4 linked regions of the Oryzias latipes genome follow. The protein of the gene in region 2 interacts with the protein of the main gene of each other region in a biochemical or structural test. Links are inferred from orthologs where the notes say so. Each region holds a gene or a part of one and is shown on either strand. Other genes may lie near its edges. The genes, in order: acvr2a, erbin, arvcf and kcna4.

The links.
Region 1: the proteins of erbin (region 2) and acvr2a interact in a test that uses a peptide from one of them, tested with the Homo sapiens proteins (2 studies listed by BioGRID and IntAct). The link is inferred for Oryzias latipes from reciprocal best matches to the Homo sapiens genes ERBIN and ACVR2A.
Region 3: the proteins of erbin (region 2) and arvcf interact in a test that uses a peptide from one of them, tested with the Homo sapiens proteins (3 studies listed by BioGRID and IntAct, with this or other methods). The link is inferred for Oryzias latipes from reciprocal best matches to the Homo sapiens genes ERBIN and ARVCF.
Region 4: the proteins of erbin (region 2) and kcna4 interact in a test that uses a peptide from one of them, tested with the Homo sapiens proteins (3 studies listed by BioGRID and IntAct, with this or other methods). The link is inferred for Oryzias latipes from reciprocal best matches to the Homo sapiens genes ERBIN and KCNA4.

What each region holds. Positions count from the first base shown.
Region 1 is NC_019860.2:3,422,130-3,426,389, forward strand, and holds the start of acvr2a (activin receptor type-2A), read left to right. Parts: upstream 1-1,446; 5' UTR 1,447-2,324; coding exon 2,325-2,379; intron 2,380-4,260. UniProt on the Homo sapiens protein: On ligand binding, forms a receptor complex consisting of two type II and two type I transmembrane serine/threonine kinases.
Region 2 is NC_019870.2:4,436,257-4,439,820, forward strand, and holds part of erbin (erbin), read right to left. Parts: coding exon 2,187-3,564; intron 1,934-2,186; coding exon 1,796-1,933; intron 1-1,795. UniProt on the Homo sapiens protein: Acts as an adapter for the receptor ERBB2, in epithelia. By binding the unphosphorylated 'Tyr-1248' of receptor ERBB2, it may contribute to stabilize this unphosphorylated state.
Region 3 is NC_019867.2:23,347,098-23,351,312, forward strand, and holds the start of arvcf (armadillo repeat protein deleted in velo-cardio-facial syndrome), read left to right. Parts: upstream 1-1,390; 5' UTR 1,391-1,695; intron 1,696-4,215. Other genes in the region: tango2 (transport and Golgi organization protein 2 homolog), read right to left, coding at 1-28. UniProt on the Homo sapiens protein: Contributes to the regulation of alternative splicing of pre-mRNAs.
Region 4 is NC_019861.2:9,901,260-9,905,432, forward strand, and holds the start of kcna4 (potassium voltage-gated channel subfamily A member 4), read left to right. Parts: upstream 1-1,373; 5' UTR 1,374-2,982; intron 2,983-3,159; 5' UTR 3,160-3,766; coding exon 3,767-4,173. UniProt on the Homo sapiens protein: Voltage-gated potassium channel that mediates transmembrane potassium transport in excitable membranes. Forms tetrameric potassium-selective channels through which potassium ions pass in accordance with their electrochemical gradient.

The sequences.
Region 1 (4,260 bases), on a different chromosome or scaffold from region 2:
GAAACCTTACCCGCGACCTTGACCGCACCTGAAGGTGATCGTGCAGCTTTTGTTGAGCGGCAGCTTCCTGTGACAGGTGAACTGTAATCTGATTACCAAGCAGTGACCACATGAATAATCAGAAACGCATATTTTATTGATGCTCCTCCCCCTCCCCCTTCGTTTTTGAGGCTCCTCTCCTCTTGTCCCATGGCGGCGTCTCCGCAGAAGTATTGGGGGCGCCCGCAGCCCCGGGCCCACCGGTGCTCCAGAGGAGACGAAAACCAACTCTCCCCAATGGAACAGGTGACTCAGCTTCCAGTCTGGCAGGAAAATCCCCCGAGACCTTTGACCTCCTAATCGTTTAGCAGCGCTTACAGTTGGAGATCTGCTGTGGGCTGTTGCAGGGATTAATGTCACGCAGATTTGGTAAGAGGGCAAACCTATATCTGTACTTCATGACAATCTCCCGGATATGAGGGGCGTGGCCTAAAAAGCACTATGCGAAAGATGGAAAAAATTTCCCTGTTTAATGGCTTAAACTTTAAAAATGAAAATAAAATTTTAAATTGTTTAAAGCATCGTAAAAACACAAAAAAATTTATTTGAAATTAATAAAGTTTAGCACTACAAATTCAAATATTTGATTTTGCTTTTTTTTCCGCTAGAAAAGGTGACATTCACACGTTAGCTCCACCCCACCTCATCCAGCGGTACGGGCAGGAGTATAAACCAGGCGCCCTCCAGGAATAACAACAATCCCTAAGCTCCTAAAGCCGCTCAGGCCAGCTGCTGACAGCCAGCCGTAGTTAGACGGTGGCAACCGGAAGCCGACAGATTCTGCCTTCAAAATAAAAACAAAAAAAAACAACTTTAAGCAAATGAAATCAAACTGTGGAGAACACGGAATATTACAAGATTAAGGGTTTTTACAAACTTAAATTTTAAATATAGCAATTTGGAAATACTTTTGAAACGGGCAAAGTAAACCAGCTGAGCTAACAAAAAGTAAAGGTGGGAAATGTTGACAAATTAATTCAATTAAATGTACATAATGAAAAAATGGTGTTGATAAATAAGAAAGAGAGACAACTGATTAATTTAAAATGTTGGTAGAGTGTAATTACATATTATGGGTTAAGATAGAACATTTATAAACAAGTATATTAATTTGAAGTACTGTAAACAGTTGAGTTCAAGAGGTTAGAAAACACTTTGATATGAAAAGTTTACAATTTACGAAAAATATTATTCCAATTTGTTTTGTAAAGAACTTTAGTAAATTCTGCAACTCTTTATTTATGAATTTCTCAGGAATATCTGTAAAGAAATTGATTAAATTATTAATTAGAAGTAACATGTATTTTTTAATATACATTTTTAAGTAATTTGTTTAATTTTCCCCCCCGTTGCATTTATTTTGAAACTTCCCCCCGGAAGCTGCTCGTTTCTGCTGCGCACGCCTGACACGGCAGGGTGACGCCATTTTGAAGTGGTCCCGAGCAGAGGAGACGGTCTTGGAAAATTCAGCTCGTCCTGAACAGCGCGGATTAACTGCAGCCTTTTTGTTTTTGTTTTTTTGTTGTCGTTTTTTTTTTTAGCTTTTCTTGCTACCGAACCGAACCTGGGTTCCCCGCGTGCACCGAGACCTATTTGGACCGCGGAGGGATTCGCTTGTTGGAGCCACTTTGAAGCGGGACGCCGCTTTTATTCGGAGCTCTTCGGAATAGCCTTATCCCCCTCCCGCTGGAGCGGCCGGAACCGCGGTGCTGGTGGCAGGACAGCCCCGCCGGACTGTCGGGCGAAGCCGAAGCTCCTAGTCGGAGTAAAACGTCCATTTTTGGGAGTATAAAATCCACGGGAATGAGCATTTCCGTAGCGTTTTGATGTGTTTTAGCTATGCGGCCGGAGCTCCGCTAGGAGAAGTTTGATTGGACGGCGGAGTGCGATTAATTTCCAGTCCGATGGATGTTAGCCCTGCCCGGCTGTGGCTCGGCTCCCTGCACCGCTCCTCGGAAGCCCCGTGCACCGGCGATCTGTCCGTCAAGCCGGAGATCTGGCGACTCCACACCGCCGCGGAGCCGACCCCCCTCGCCTGCCTGTAAACCTGGAAATACCACCATCGATCCCCTCTTCTTCATCCTCCTCCTCCTCTTCCTCAGTGTGTGGACTTACCTGGGATCGTTCGGATTTAGACTCTTTAGTGAATTAAAATGGTCGACTCGGACACACTGGGTTGTTTAGAGGACTTTTAACTGACAATATTTTGACTTTTTTTTTTTAAATTAGTTTATATATATTTTTAAACAATTCTTTGCATTGAGCGGATCGAACTCGGATGGAAAATGGGAGACGCCACAAAGCTGGCCATAGCCGTTTTCCTCATCTCCTGTTCTTCAGGTGGGTGTGTAGAAGGTGGTGGTGGTGCGGGTGGAGATTGCAACGCACAGCAACCCTGATGTTATTTTATTTTATTTTATTTGTAAGAATGCAACTGCACCCTCTGGGGTGGGTGGGTAACAAAACGTAGTAGTAGTAGGTCGTAGTCCGGTTCTCTGGAGCCTTTGGCCCTCAAGGGACCAGATTCACCCGACGCTTCTTGACATGTTGTGCACGCTCACAAACCCTTGTCACTTAGTGTGTTTTTGTTGAACAAGATAAAACATGGACGTGGGTGGACCTGGATGCCACTTCTTGCGTGACGGGGAGATTTGCCTCTACTGGTTCATGCTCTGGTTTCGTAGCTAGAAAAAATACTCGACGGTATGGAAAGGCAAGAGAACGTTCTTCTATGGGTCAACGATGCACAAACACCGGTGAAGCCTTGTAAACCGTGGACTTTGGTGGTGTTACTTCCTTGCCTGACGGGAAAGGTGCCATGCTTTGTGACCGGGGCCTTTCAGCAGATCAGCTCCTGTTATCTCTACCGGTTGCCCAATCGAGGGTTTCGAAACAGATCAAGCCTGGTGGCGAGAATTCCTGGTGTTGTGTGCAAGCAGGAAGGGGATTATTGGATCAAAGCAGTCCCATCAAACATGAGGAAAGTTTGTTTTTGCTTTCTGAGGTGCCGCAGGTTTCTGTTGCAGCGTGTGCTGTCCGAAAAAAATGCAGAACTTTCTCTTGTTTATTTAGTTTGAACAAGGCAAAAAAAATACTGAGCAAATCTGCAAGAAAGGAAAATACTCCAGCAAGTCCCGGAGGATCTTTGGTTGGGAAGGAAAGAAGGTTTCGGAAATTGGGTAATAGTCAAGGTCGCATGGAGTGCAAGGCAGGTGCTGTCTGCGTTTTTAGACCGCAGCGGATGATTATTCTGCTTGCTCGTTACCGTCTGAAGTGGGGAAATGAATGGTTTCCACTTGAGTTAGAATAATAATTCTTTGTAAAATTCAAGTTGAATGGCTTTTAAAAAGGATGGGTTAGACCGAGGCGATCCGCCCGGAGAGGCTGCGCTGTGAAAACACAAGGACAAATTCAGAGATTTCAAATCATAAGATGCCACTTGCTTTGCTGCTGCTGGCAGTTTACAGATACAGAAATGCTCTTTTTTTGTGTGAAATCATACAGTTCATGGTGAATAAAAAAATTGTATAAAAAAAAAAACTACAAAAGGACTTCGAAGGAAAAGCTACGTTAACGAGAGACCCGTAATCTTTAATATTTTACAATTTTATCTACTTTAGCGATCTGACAGCTTTATCATTTGATTGCTTTTCAAATCAAAACAAATGAAACTTTTTTTTTTTTTAAAAAAGCACTTCTCATACCTTGAGCAACTCGAAGCGCTTTAACATAAAAAAAACACAATATTGCAAATAAATACCCTTCCTGCTCCTCCCTGTTAACACATATTAACCACACTCAATGAATGCTTATAATAGTAACTTTAAGAAAAATGGATATTTATCTATTCGTTTCCTGTTTGTTGACTTCTATGCTAACAATGCTGATGTCTACTTCGAGGTTGGAACTTTGGGATCGCACACAAGTGGAGACCTTGAGACTTAAATATCTCCCAATTTTTTTGATAGTTTGCATGAAATCATCCAGTTAATGGTAAATATCATTTTTTATATTCAACAATAACAGAAAATTGTTTTTTTTTTTGAGGAATAAGACGATGACTATCATCTTAAGAGATCTGAAAGCTCAAGTATTTATTTGTTTTTTTCCTAGTTTATTTCCCTTTTCACTCTTTTTTTGCGGTCAGGCTTGCTTCTATGCTGATGACGCTTTTGTCTATGTTGAGGTGGGAAGTTTGGGTGTCGCAGAATATGAAGCGGA
Region 2 (3,564 bases):
TGGGGCGGAGCCTAGCATCGTTAAAGTGTCCCAAATGAGCAATGTGACCAATTGGTATGATTATAATGCACTAATAAAGTGAGAGATTTTTTTGTGTCTTATAATTGTTACTACATAATGTCAGAGGTTATAACATTATTTGTTAATTAGCAAATTAGATTCTACTGCAGTTAGAGGAAAGGAAATGTTGAATATTTGACGACAAAAAAACAAACGGAATTACGATGAAAACCTTTAATATACAAGTCTGGTTAAAGCAACAAATGTCTAATATGTTAGATATTCCTGTCACTTTGATTTATTTGGGGAAAAATCAGCAACTCTAACTAAAAGATTGTGGAAAAATAAAGTAAACCAAATTAGTCTTCATTATAAGAACCTTTGAAGCAGCTTAAACATCAGTTTTCTTTTTAAATATATTCATGCAAATAACACCCATATTTGGTTTGCTAATTCTATGTAAACTAAAAAAGGAAGTTTCTAAATTGAGGATTCTCAAGGAACATTTCTGTTTTTCAAACTTAAACAGTTGGAGCAGCTTTCATGCAACCTAAAAACAACAACAATAAAAATTGGTAAAAGTCCCTTTTCTACTTTTAAACTCTAAACAACTTTTGAACAAATGTTTAAAGATTCCCTCCGAGGAAAACTGTAGTTCTTAACTTGTTTTTGTTTTTCTGATGACGGAGAACATAAATAAAAATATGTAAAAAATGCAGCCAAAAATTGCATTTCCAGGTATTCCTTTATTCAAATCGTTGTGAATCATCAGCAGACTATAAAAAACACAATAGTCTATTTGTGACGTAGAAAATAAGCTTTCTGCTTCCAGCTCTCAGCAACGGCGAGGGGAAGGGGGGAGGGGTTGCTCCACACTGACGGTCCTGCCCACAAATCTGAGGCAAATTTCTAATGAACTACTGCCGCTCTGCAGAAACTACGTCCTAAAAAACCGCCACAGGCTTTTTGATTTCAGCTAAAACGGAATCATCAGAGTTTAAGATCACTGGGAAGGCTTTAAAAACTGATCAAAGGGGAATAGAAGTGGGGAATTAATGTTCGAGTACAAAAAGAACAAGCTACAAATATGTAACAGCTGTGGATTTATGTTGAGGGAAATCGGTAAATCTGACGTATTTACTAAAGGACACTGCATAAAATAACGTTGAAAAAGAAAATTAACCAAATGACCGATGCATTTTAAGAACAAGCCCTTTAAAGCAACTTAACTTGGAATTTACTATTCATTTTTTTTAATTTAGTGCAAAAAATACCCATAGTCAGTCTATTAGAGTAGATTAATTAGGTTTTGGAAAACAGATATATTGTCTGAGCATCCTCACACTTTTTAGTTGCAGCAACTCTTGAAAGTGTTTGGTCAATTTTTAAAACAAAAAAGTGAAAAAAGGTGTTTTTTTTCCTTTTACTTTTACACCAAAAAAAGAAGGAAATGTTTTCCATCGAAGGCAATAAAGTTTAATAGTTTCAAAATTTTCATGGAGAACATTTCAAAATAAAAGCACCATCTCTTGCTGTAAACCTTGTTTTAGTTAATATTTAAGTAAAGGTTAAAAACAGAAATGATTTGCAGTGCTAAAAACATTTATTTTGACTTAGGAGATTTGATTTGAAAGGTCAAATGAAGAGAAGTGAAAGATGGCTTCTGTTGATCTGATGGGGGAACGGGACAAAAGGGAAACATGCGTTTCCTTGAAGGAAGTGAAACAAAGAGGAAGAGGAGGTTCCTGGGTTGTTTGGAGCTCCAGAAGGAACCGCAGAGGCTCTCGGTACTCACACAGAAGCTCAGGTAGGGCTGTCCATCCCTGCCACTAAACACCAGGGAGCCTTGGCTGGCATGCATGTCCCTATAGTTTCCGTCCTGAGACCAGCTCAGTGGGAAGTTATTGAAATGATAGGAGCGAGACAGAGCATTCTGACCACACGCAACAACCGGCAGCAGGAGAGGTGACCATGCAATCCAACCAAACGAGTCACACAAACAGAAAACACACAAACATGCCGTTAGTTGTGGTTAGTCTTGTTTTTTTTTTTTTGCACAGAAACTTTGGAGCTGAAACTGTTTTAACTGTTAGTCTGGAGCTGAACTCTAAAAACTCATCTTTCAACTGTTTCCGTTAGGTACAGACTGAAGTGATTTGCTCACAGAAAGTTTGATCCCGCTTTACCTTTTCGATCTTCTTGGCCTCGATGTGCCGCATCACCTGGTCTCTCCAGTCTGCGGGGACTCTTCCCGGGCCCGGCCCGTCCAGCAGCGAGTGCTCGGACTTGACCCTGGCGTTGGGCCGCTTGCTGGGGCTGATTTGCTGGTAGTTGAAATCGCTCACAGACATGGTCCGCTCTGAGAGCTCGTGTGGGAGTGGCCTGGCGCTGACGGGCCTGGACGCTCCATGACCGTCGATGCTGTAGGTGCGGGCTGAGAAGGGCCTCTGTGCCGCCATGGCCAGGGGGCCTCTGGGGGGCGCGTGAATGTCCCTGTACGTCATGTACTCCCCCTCGGCCGGCTGCATGCGCCTCATCTCGCCGATGGAGGCGGCGGAGGCGCCGCTGCTTTGCCTCTGCAGAGTGCTGCTCCTCACCTGGCCGCCAGCAGGATAAAGTCTTTCCTTGGTCCAGTCGCCTTTGGGGGCCATTGGGGGCCCCTTCTGCTGCTGCAGCTGCAGGGGGTACTGGGGCGCCTGGTTTCGGTTTGAGAAGTTGGTGTTGGCGAGCGAGTGTGGTGGATGGGAGAAGTAGCCCTGTTGCTCCGGAGGAGCCGGTGACCTCTGAGCCCACATGTTCTCCTTTGGCATGGCACTGCTTGTGTACTGGATGTTGTACTGAGGGGGCGGAGCTCCGACGCTGGAGGAAGCGGGATACCTGCCGCTGGTGGCAGGAGGCATGGAGGAGGACAGCAGGTCTGAGGAGGACGTGGAGGAGCTGTTGTAGACGTGGAGAGGCTGGTCGTTGAGTAGCTGGCTGGCTGATTTGCTCCTCACGATGCTCTGGGCCTGAGCCCCCGCTCCTGGGCCCACCCCCACCATTCTGCCCATCACAGCTCCATCTTCATCTCCATCCAAGGAGTACAGCTTCATGCCTCCTGCTTCTATGTTGCTGATGCTGTGCGACTTCATCACCTGCGGCAGGTAGGACCTTTTCTCTGGAGACAGCTCCTCCGTGCTGCGGGACAGAGACAGCTCGCTGCCCGCGGCCGAGGTGGCGGCATGTACTGAGGAGGTCTCCGCCCTCTGCCCCCCCACGCCCTCACTTCCGTTCTGATTCCCATTCTGGATGTGATCCGCGTACTGCTGGCCGTTCAGGTCCCCCTGGGGTATCGGGCCGTTCTTGGCCTTGTCCGGCCCTTCCAGATGGTACGCGTCGTAGCTCGGCAGCTTGGTCACGTTCATGTTGATCTGGTCCCACTTGCTGTACGCCAGCCTGTTCTCCATGCACAGATCGTAGTCCGGCAGCGGCGGCTGGGTCCTCAGGAGGGAGGGGAGGGACGTCTCCGAGCCGTTGCCATTGTGGAGGAGAGGGGTGGTGTCCCTGGGCGGGTTCATGTTCTCA
Region 3 (4,215 bases), on a different chromosome or scaffold from region 2:
GATCAAACTTGAAGAAGATTATACACATTTTGTGGCACGATCTGATTATCACTTCTTCCACATTGGTCTTCAGGTGTAAGTCATACCTGAAATAAAAGAAGTAATTAAAGATATTTGAGTTTTACGTAATTGTGATATAGAAACATCAGGACTGCACAAATCACTATATATCCTAAATTACAATTAAGCTCAAAATCTAAAAATAAAATACATTTTGTCAGAGTATATAAATAACACAATTACAAAAGCAATGACCCACACAGCAAAGAAAGAGAGTCACCAAGCACGACATTCGGTAGACTAGTATTTACCAGACGCCTGAACTCGTTTATAGACACCTTATTTCGAATGAAACAAAGACAGGTTCAGTAACACAGCACTAATGTAAATTTAGTTTTACTAAACTGCTAACAAATTAGCATACTTACAAGTGACGAGGAAACAAACCCAACGGATCAAAAATATCTGGCAAACTGGGTTAAAGGCGACACAATACACACAAAAAATGGCGGCTTGATCAAATTGTTAATTCTGCCCTTTACTAAATACAGTGCTGAATTATGACTGACTTAAACTCACTGCCCCTTTATCGTGCTTGTTGTCAACTCAAAGGAAGTCCTTCTACAGTATAACTTCGATTTGAGGTTTTACTCACACCGACAGACTCCACCAATGGCCTGGGTTAGAGGGGTTCCTTTAACCCCGCCCGGTTAGGCACTTTAAATGTACAGAACGAACGAATCTATAAAGATGCTATTCGATTGGTCGCCTTACTCACAAAGTTTGCCACTTTGACAGCCACAATTCCGGTTAGTTAGTTTTCTTCAAAACAAAAGCAAGCGTAACAAAAAGAGTAATCAGAAAATGTTGGAATGACTACAAATGTTAGACATGATATACAGAATTTTGCAAAATCACTCAATATGTAATATTTCGGTTGCTGTATAAGGTTATTTGCAAGCCAAAACAAAATGGCAATCATATTTGCTGCAACAAAGCTTTTATTTTGAAAATGCTACTTGGCATCCTGAGTTTTTTTTACATAAAGATGAGAGAACCGCACTACCAGTTATTTTAACAGTAAATAGGCAGTCTGAGGTATTTTAAGACTACTTAAATGAAACAAGCTAAATAAAAAATATATTTAGAAAAGTGCAACTAATTTACAAACGTATGCGTTAATTATTTGCATATTAACATTTTAACTTAAACATTTTAAAGTCACTAGGCCAGTTAATAAAAAAAAGGCGCAGCCAATAAGAATTAGGTTTTTGTTGCAGATAAACACATTTAAGTGTCAGTTGAAAATATTCAAAAAGAAAGTCCGCCTATGAGTGTGTGTGTGGATGGGCGGAGACACTCAGCGTGACCAACAGAATCGTGCTCTGCCGTGGATGAGGGATAAAGGCTTGCTCTGCTTTTCATCCACCGCCACATCGTAGTTACTATTCGTCGTTACTAACGACGTTTCCTTCTATTTAACTTTTAATACACTGAAATGACTTCATTTAACCCCCGCGAGGACTGAGAGGACCAAACCATTTGTAAAGCCTGGCAACTTTGCTTTGAGATCTAATATATCTGCAGAGTAGACAGCTCTTCCTGCCGTGGCCAAAATAACAGCTGAGATTCGGAGTAAACCCCCCCAGTGCAGCGTCTCCTCGTCTGCGAAGACCAGCACGAGGACTAACTGAGGTAATTATTGCTGTTTTGTAGTGGGGGACCGTTTCAACTTAGTGGGCTTTGACGCCGTTGGTATAATAATGGGGAGCAATGTGAACTGGGGGAAATTGCAGGGGGAGTTTCCGACGCTTCTTTCCTAAGGATTCAATGGAGAAGACGAGGTTGTGCAATTATATTCAGTTTAAGCCTCCTAATATTTATTTTTTGTTATTATTGTATTATTATTATTTGTTAACTAGAGCTATTCGTATGTAATGTTTACTATTTTTGCGCCACAAATCTGTAGATGCTCATGAACGGAAGCAGTCAAGTGCAGCGCACCGCACCAAGCTGTCAATCTTCAGCCCAGCTACTACTCCATTGTTATCCCCCTGACTGTTTGTGAGTGGGTTGCCATGGAGAGTCTTCCGGTGCCTCTCCCGTAAATACCTTATTTGGAGGAATGGGCGGCTGTAGTGATGTTGGGTTATGGCCTTCATGTATTCATGTCCCGCGCGAGTTAGTGCCAGAATGAGCGAGTGGTTCTCATCAGCGCCAAAGCCTTAAATGAAGTTCTCAACAGACTCTGATTGATCTCTGTTTATGCTTTCACACCCTGCTAGCCTCAGGATGCAGAAGGATGCAATTAAGGCAATTACCTGTGAGCACGTGGCACGAATTAGCATACATTTGGTTCTAATTGGGAACGCACACGCTAGACCAATTAAAAGTCTCAGTATAATTCAAAGAGTTTTCATTAAAATTTATGTAGTTTGAGATGTTACCATGTTTAAAAAAACTATTGAAAATAAACATATTTACAGAACAAGGGTGGATTCAAAACAGGATTGAACATAACATTTTTACACAAAAAAATTACAGCAAGTAACATGTTAATAAGAAACGTTTGGTTAGCAAATGGCAAATAGAGAATATATATATATATATATATATATATATATATATATATATATATATATATATATATATATATATATATAAACGAGAAAAAATTACTTAGCAAACAGGGAAATACAAAATTCTACTGCTTTGGGAGTTTGACTATTTTCAAGAGTGTTATAAAACAGATGAAGTTCTGTAATAAATAAATATAAATTTTACTTTTTTATTTAAAAGTAATTACTTTGCAGTATTTTCTATGTCTTTACAAACAAAACAGAATAGGTTATTATATGTTTATATAATTATATTTTATTATATATTATTATTGCTCAGCCGGCTAAGCGGAGCATTGTCACAGTAACATGACAACACGCAGCACCACGTGACAAATAGTCCGCTTTTTGTTAAATAAAAAGTGATCTAATAACAATAACAAGAATAAAGCACTAAAAATCGATTGATTATTTATTTCTTTTGTAAGTGACCATGGGATAAGCGGGTTAATGGCCTTCGAAGTGTGGATTATCAGAAATTAATGCACTTCGGCGAAGCAGCCATCCTCTGTTTCGCGTCGGACAGTTCAGGCTTCTACAGCGTGCTTTAATTTCTGATAATGCAGACTTTGTTGGCCATTACTGGCTACTTAACTTAAATTGTTCCGGTTTAGTCTGGAGAAGTATTCAGTTAGTGTATGTATACATGTACGCACGATGCCATCACTTGATACTTCTTGTATCAGAATTGGACTACATTGACTTTCTGTCATGTCAATATGTTGAGTAAAATAAAAACAAAATGCTACCTCATAGGTTTACGCTAACTATGATGATGCCATCGCTTGGTACTTCCGATGGGATCGGAAGAGAATTGCCCCAATCGGTACAAAATGTGACACAATTTGATGGCATCACCCACGATTGGAATTTTATTTAGAATTTTTATATAGTACAATTGTGTGCATATCACACCAGTGGCCCATACTAGCAAGTGTATGAGCAAGATGTTGTACATGTTAAAAAATACCAGTGAAACTTTGGAGACAATCATGTCGAGCTTAAAAAGTATGAATGCCATTCAGAGGTTCATCGCAGTTATCATGGACAGTTGCAAGTGAAACCAACCTTAATATGAACTAAACTGCATGATTGTGGTAGGGACACGATACGATTGATGCGATAGCTGATTACTATGAAGTATAAACCAGGCATTAGATAATTTGATCATTAACTCTCATTGATTGACTCGGATGTGTTGGAATTCAAGAAAAAAGATTGTCAAACAAATATGTGACTTACTAACTTATTAAGTTTGCCTATAATGTGTTTCACAGGCTATCTTTATTTTTATTTTTTTAGCTGACTGAAGTGATGGTAGTGAGTGGTTAGGAGGAAGCCAATCCGGACCTGAAGTGAATGGTCCTTTTGTTGGACATGCACCTGCAGAGCTCTTCCTGCTGCTCATGAAGTGATTAACATTCACCTCCAACCTCTCTGTCCTTTCCATTTTCAAGTCCCTAGGCCAAAATAACCCAGACTCCAATGTGTGGAGTTGACACCTGGTCTGCATCACCCACCCAGTAAAGCCAATAACACATGCCTTTGTCTCTACCCACTCAACACACCATGAATACAGAAGTGTAACATGGTTATA
Region 4 (4,173 bases), on a different chromosome or scaffold from region 2:
GGGCTTTGTGGTACAAAAATTAGACATATTTGGTCGAGAATACGATTTTTAGCAGTATCTCTGAATCTATGTTCACATCACTTTCGGCAACATGTATTAAAGCGGCCACATCCAAGGAAAAGTACACGTGCGTAAATGCGCGTTTTGGGCATCCATATTCCAATTCCTAGCGTTCATGCATTGCTACACAAGGTTGTCCAACCATTTTCCAGCTTTACATGCAAAACTCATGGCCATTGGTGCCAGTTGGTTTATCTGGTGAACCCAGACATGGCGACAAGCCTGGCCACGAATGTGTTATTTTTTCAAATAAAGACAAACCAATACTACTCTCCGGACAAGAGGGGGATCTACTTCCAATGCAAGGACGCTAACAAGAACCGAACCGTTTAGTACCCAAATCGCAAGATTTGCTCCGCTTTGACATTTTGCGCCAAGCCTCTTCCAACTGTAGGTGGCGAACATGCAAAAGTAGCTAGCAAACAGTAAAAAAAAAAAAAAAAAAAAAAAAGAGGAAGAAGCCCCTCCCTGCTTGCCCAGTGTGATACCATAGGCTAAACGCATAATGAATGTCAGGGATGTTTGTAGCTTTGGTGAGCTGGAAACGGAAATTTTGAAGAGTTTTAAATTTTCTGAGTGAAAAAATAACATAAAACTGTTAAGACATGAAAAAGAAACAAGCTTAGTGCATAATTTAGAACTCAAAAATTATTTTTGTTCAATCTTCAGAAGGTAAAGTGACAAAATTTGAATTGAGGCTTGCTTAGGAAAAAGTGAAATGTGGGTTTTTAATGGCTTATTTTGTAAGAAAAATAGTTGAGGAGTTCCAAAACACACATGTGAGAGTTAAAACACAATACTGTGATTACTGCATTGCTTACATATATGAAGTTTTCATTATACCTTGGCCCAGCTTTGCACACTTGCACCTTTCACTTACATTGCTGTCAAAAAAGGACTTTTTTCATTCCCAGATAGTGATTATGTTTTTCAAATACGTCTTCAATGTCCTCATTCTAATCAAAGTTGTATGATTAGTACGGAACAGATCCAGTATCGCTTCATGCCAAATAACTTTTGGTCGAAACGATGAACGAATGTCATCATCCAATCAGCAATGTCCCATAGTCCCTACCTTTTCCAGGTTCATATTCTGTTTTTTTTTTTAAACATTTAATTTTGATTTTTGGAAATTACTTTTGTTTTCCAAAATATTTCACTTTTATTTTGTTTCCTTTTTTTTTCTTATTTTGTTTGGTTTGTGGAAATTCTTTTGGATTTCTAAAATGTAATGTTTTTTTTCTTATTTGTTTTCCTTTTTAAATTGTGGTTGGGATCTTTAATTTATTTTTGCATTGAATGATTTGTTGGTGTAATTTCCACTTCAGGGCCACCATAAAGGCAATGGACTCATATTTCTTCCAAAGATTCAGCGAGACATACAATGAGGGCCAGATGCTTGCGGTGGAAAGCTTTAAAATGCTCTTGGTACATCACACAGTCTGAAAAAACATCAGGAGTGGCACAAAGTCGCCCTGGTTTCTACTGTTTTCTCTTTCAAAAATCTTTGAAATGCGCCCAACTGCATTTAACCTCTGAACTGCATGTTTGCAGCTCTACAAAACAGGTAATGCTGCCTATTTGGAGAAGACATTCTCCCAACTGTAGGAGAACCTCAGATGTCATTCTGGATCCAGAACCATGGTGGTCCATAAAATCTCCACTAGACTCTCCGTCCATTCATCGCTTAATCCAAACCTTCAGAAATGACGATGCTTGGCCAGTAATTTTCCTGTTTCACATAATTGGTTTTACCTGTTGACTCTGTCTGCGTCTATTTCATGATTTACTCTCCAATATGTTCAATCTCATAATATGATAATTAATTTCACTCCCATACCAGATGGTGTTCTTTTTTCCCCTAATTGAACCTCAGAGGAAAGCAGACAAAGGGAGCCTTAATGGTTTTTGATGTTTCCTCATGAAGGAAACTAATAAACATACACTTAAGGATTAATGAAGGTGTAAATTTCAGAAGGAAAACTTGATATTGGCGGGCTTTAAAAATATCAAACCTGATATTTGCATCTACTTTAAAGTTCCCGTCATTTCATTTCAATTCTGCATCAAAAAGAATAGATTCCTCCCGCCGCTTCCTCTGAGCCAACATGGTAAACAGTAAAGGTACAATTCTAATTTCGTGAGGAAGCATGCGCTCTGGTCTAATCACGTGGTTTTGTGAATGAAAAGACAGCGCTGCCATAGTTATTTTCGGGGAGAGAAGCGATGGTAAAGCGGGAGAGGGGCCTCAGCATTGAGACTGCAGCACGGCGCGCAGTGACGCGCTGCATCCACTGGGGGAGGACCGAGCACCGCCTGCGCGCGCTGCGACGCAGGAACCACTTTCTCACCGAGATTCTCCATCATCACTCATACAATGGGAGGGATACAGGAGCATAGGTAGGGATACAGAGGCAGACAGACAGAGGCGTGATGCTCACACTTAGCCGTGGGGACATTTACCCCCTCATCAATGCCTTGCTAAACTTTCCCCCACCCTTGGTTCTTTTTGACCGGGATTGCGCGGAGCAGTCAGTAATGCCAACTCCCTAATCGCACACCTTATTCTACTCCTCCCTCCTATTTCCCCCCCTAAAAGCCGAATGTTGCCTCTATACAGTGAGCGATGCTGCAGGAACGGGGGCCGAAGTGCCAATAGATCCTGTTGAATTGAGACAAGACGTCGAGACGCAGCCAAAAAAAAAGTGTCATCTCCAGAGTGCGTCAGAGCACGGATGTATATACTGGATGTGGATTTTGGTCGCTGGTTGGACACGACGAAGGATTTGGGTATTTTAACGTCCAGAAATTCTAACAGGAATTTGAGGAAACATGTGCATCCTCGCCTCCTATTTCTTCTCCTCCTCCTCCAGCGGATTTGTTTTGGGTGTTGAGGCGGTTTGATTTGGCACCTTTTCAAATGTAAGTATGGATGAAAGGACACTTGTATGTGGAAACCCTGTGCGTAATGTTCGTTTTGACGTTTTTCTATTCGATATTAGCAGTCTAATGATATTATTAATGAAGTTTTATAATCTGCATGATGTATGTAGTTTTCTTGCTATAATATTTACACCTCCCTCTTCCTTATTCTTGCAGGATCTGCTGTAAACATGAGGAATAAAAGTAATTCTGCTTAACCGGGAGTCTACAATACGGCAGACAATATTTTTTGTACCATTTTTTCTTTTGCTTTTCCTCTTATTTTTGGATCCCAGCACATGAGAATGGCATCATCGGGTGACCACGGCAGAGCCAAGGACGCATTTAGGCGCCGATCTCTGGGAAAATAACCACCTGATGGGCTCCGGAGAAGCCGCGGACAGACTGCTTTGGTGTAGCTTGTTGACTCGGTGATTTATAATGCTGTGCATATAGAGGAGGGGGGGCTGCAACTTTTGTCAGAGCGTCTGCGTAACAGGCTATTCCACCGGCCTCTGGATTTTTTTTTTTGTGATGCTAATGATGTCATGCAATCCTAGAGTGTTTGTACCAACATGAGAAGATGGGGCTTCATAACCCCCATTATGTGAGTAGCTTCACTGAACCTGAAGCAGACAGATGTTTCTTGACCTGACCATCTGATTGATCAGAACGGTTCATGCCTTATTCACCCTCCCTGCGCGCGCCGGGCTCCAACTTTTCTCCTCTGCTGTGCGTCCACATCACCTTGAGGCGTTTTATATAGCGCTCAGACAGACTTAAAATGGAGTTTGCTATGGTGGGCGCGGATGGCGGGTGCAACAGTCACCTGCCGTACGGATATGCCCAAGCACGGGCGCGTGAGAGGGAGCGCGAGAGGGAGCGTCAGGCTGCTCAGTCCAGAGCGGCGGCTGCTGCGGCGGCGACCGACGGGGGCCCTGCTGCGGAGGGAGGAGGAGGAGGCGGCCATGGAGGGGGGTCCATCTCCACCACCACCTCCTCGAGCGCTCATCTCCTTAACAACCGCCAGCATCAGTCTCGCGCCGCCTCCTCCTCAACGAGCGCCAACATCAGCAGCGGCGCCGCCTCGCGCCCCTCCTCCTCCTCCTGGCACCAGCAGGATCCCGAGCAGCAGCAGCAGAGAGTTCTCAGAGAGCGGAAAAAGCAGCGCGGCGTCGGACGGTGGAGACG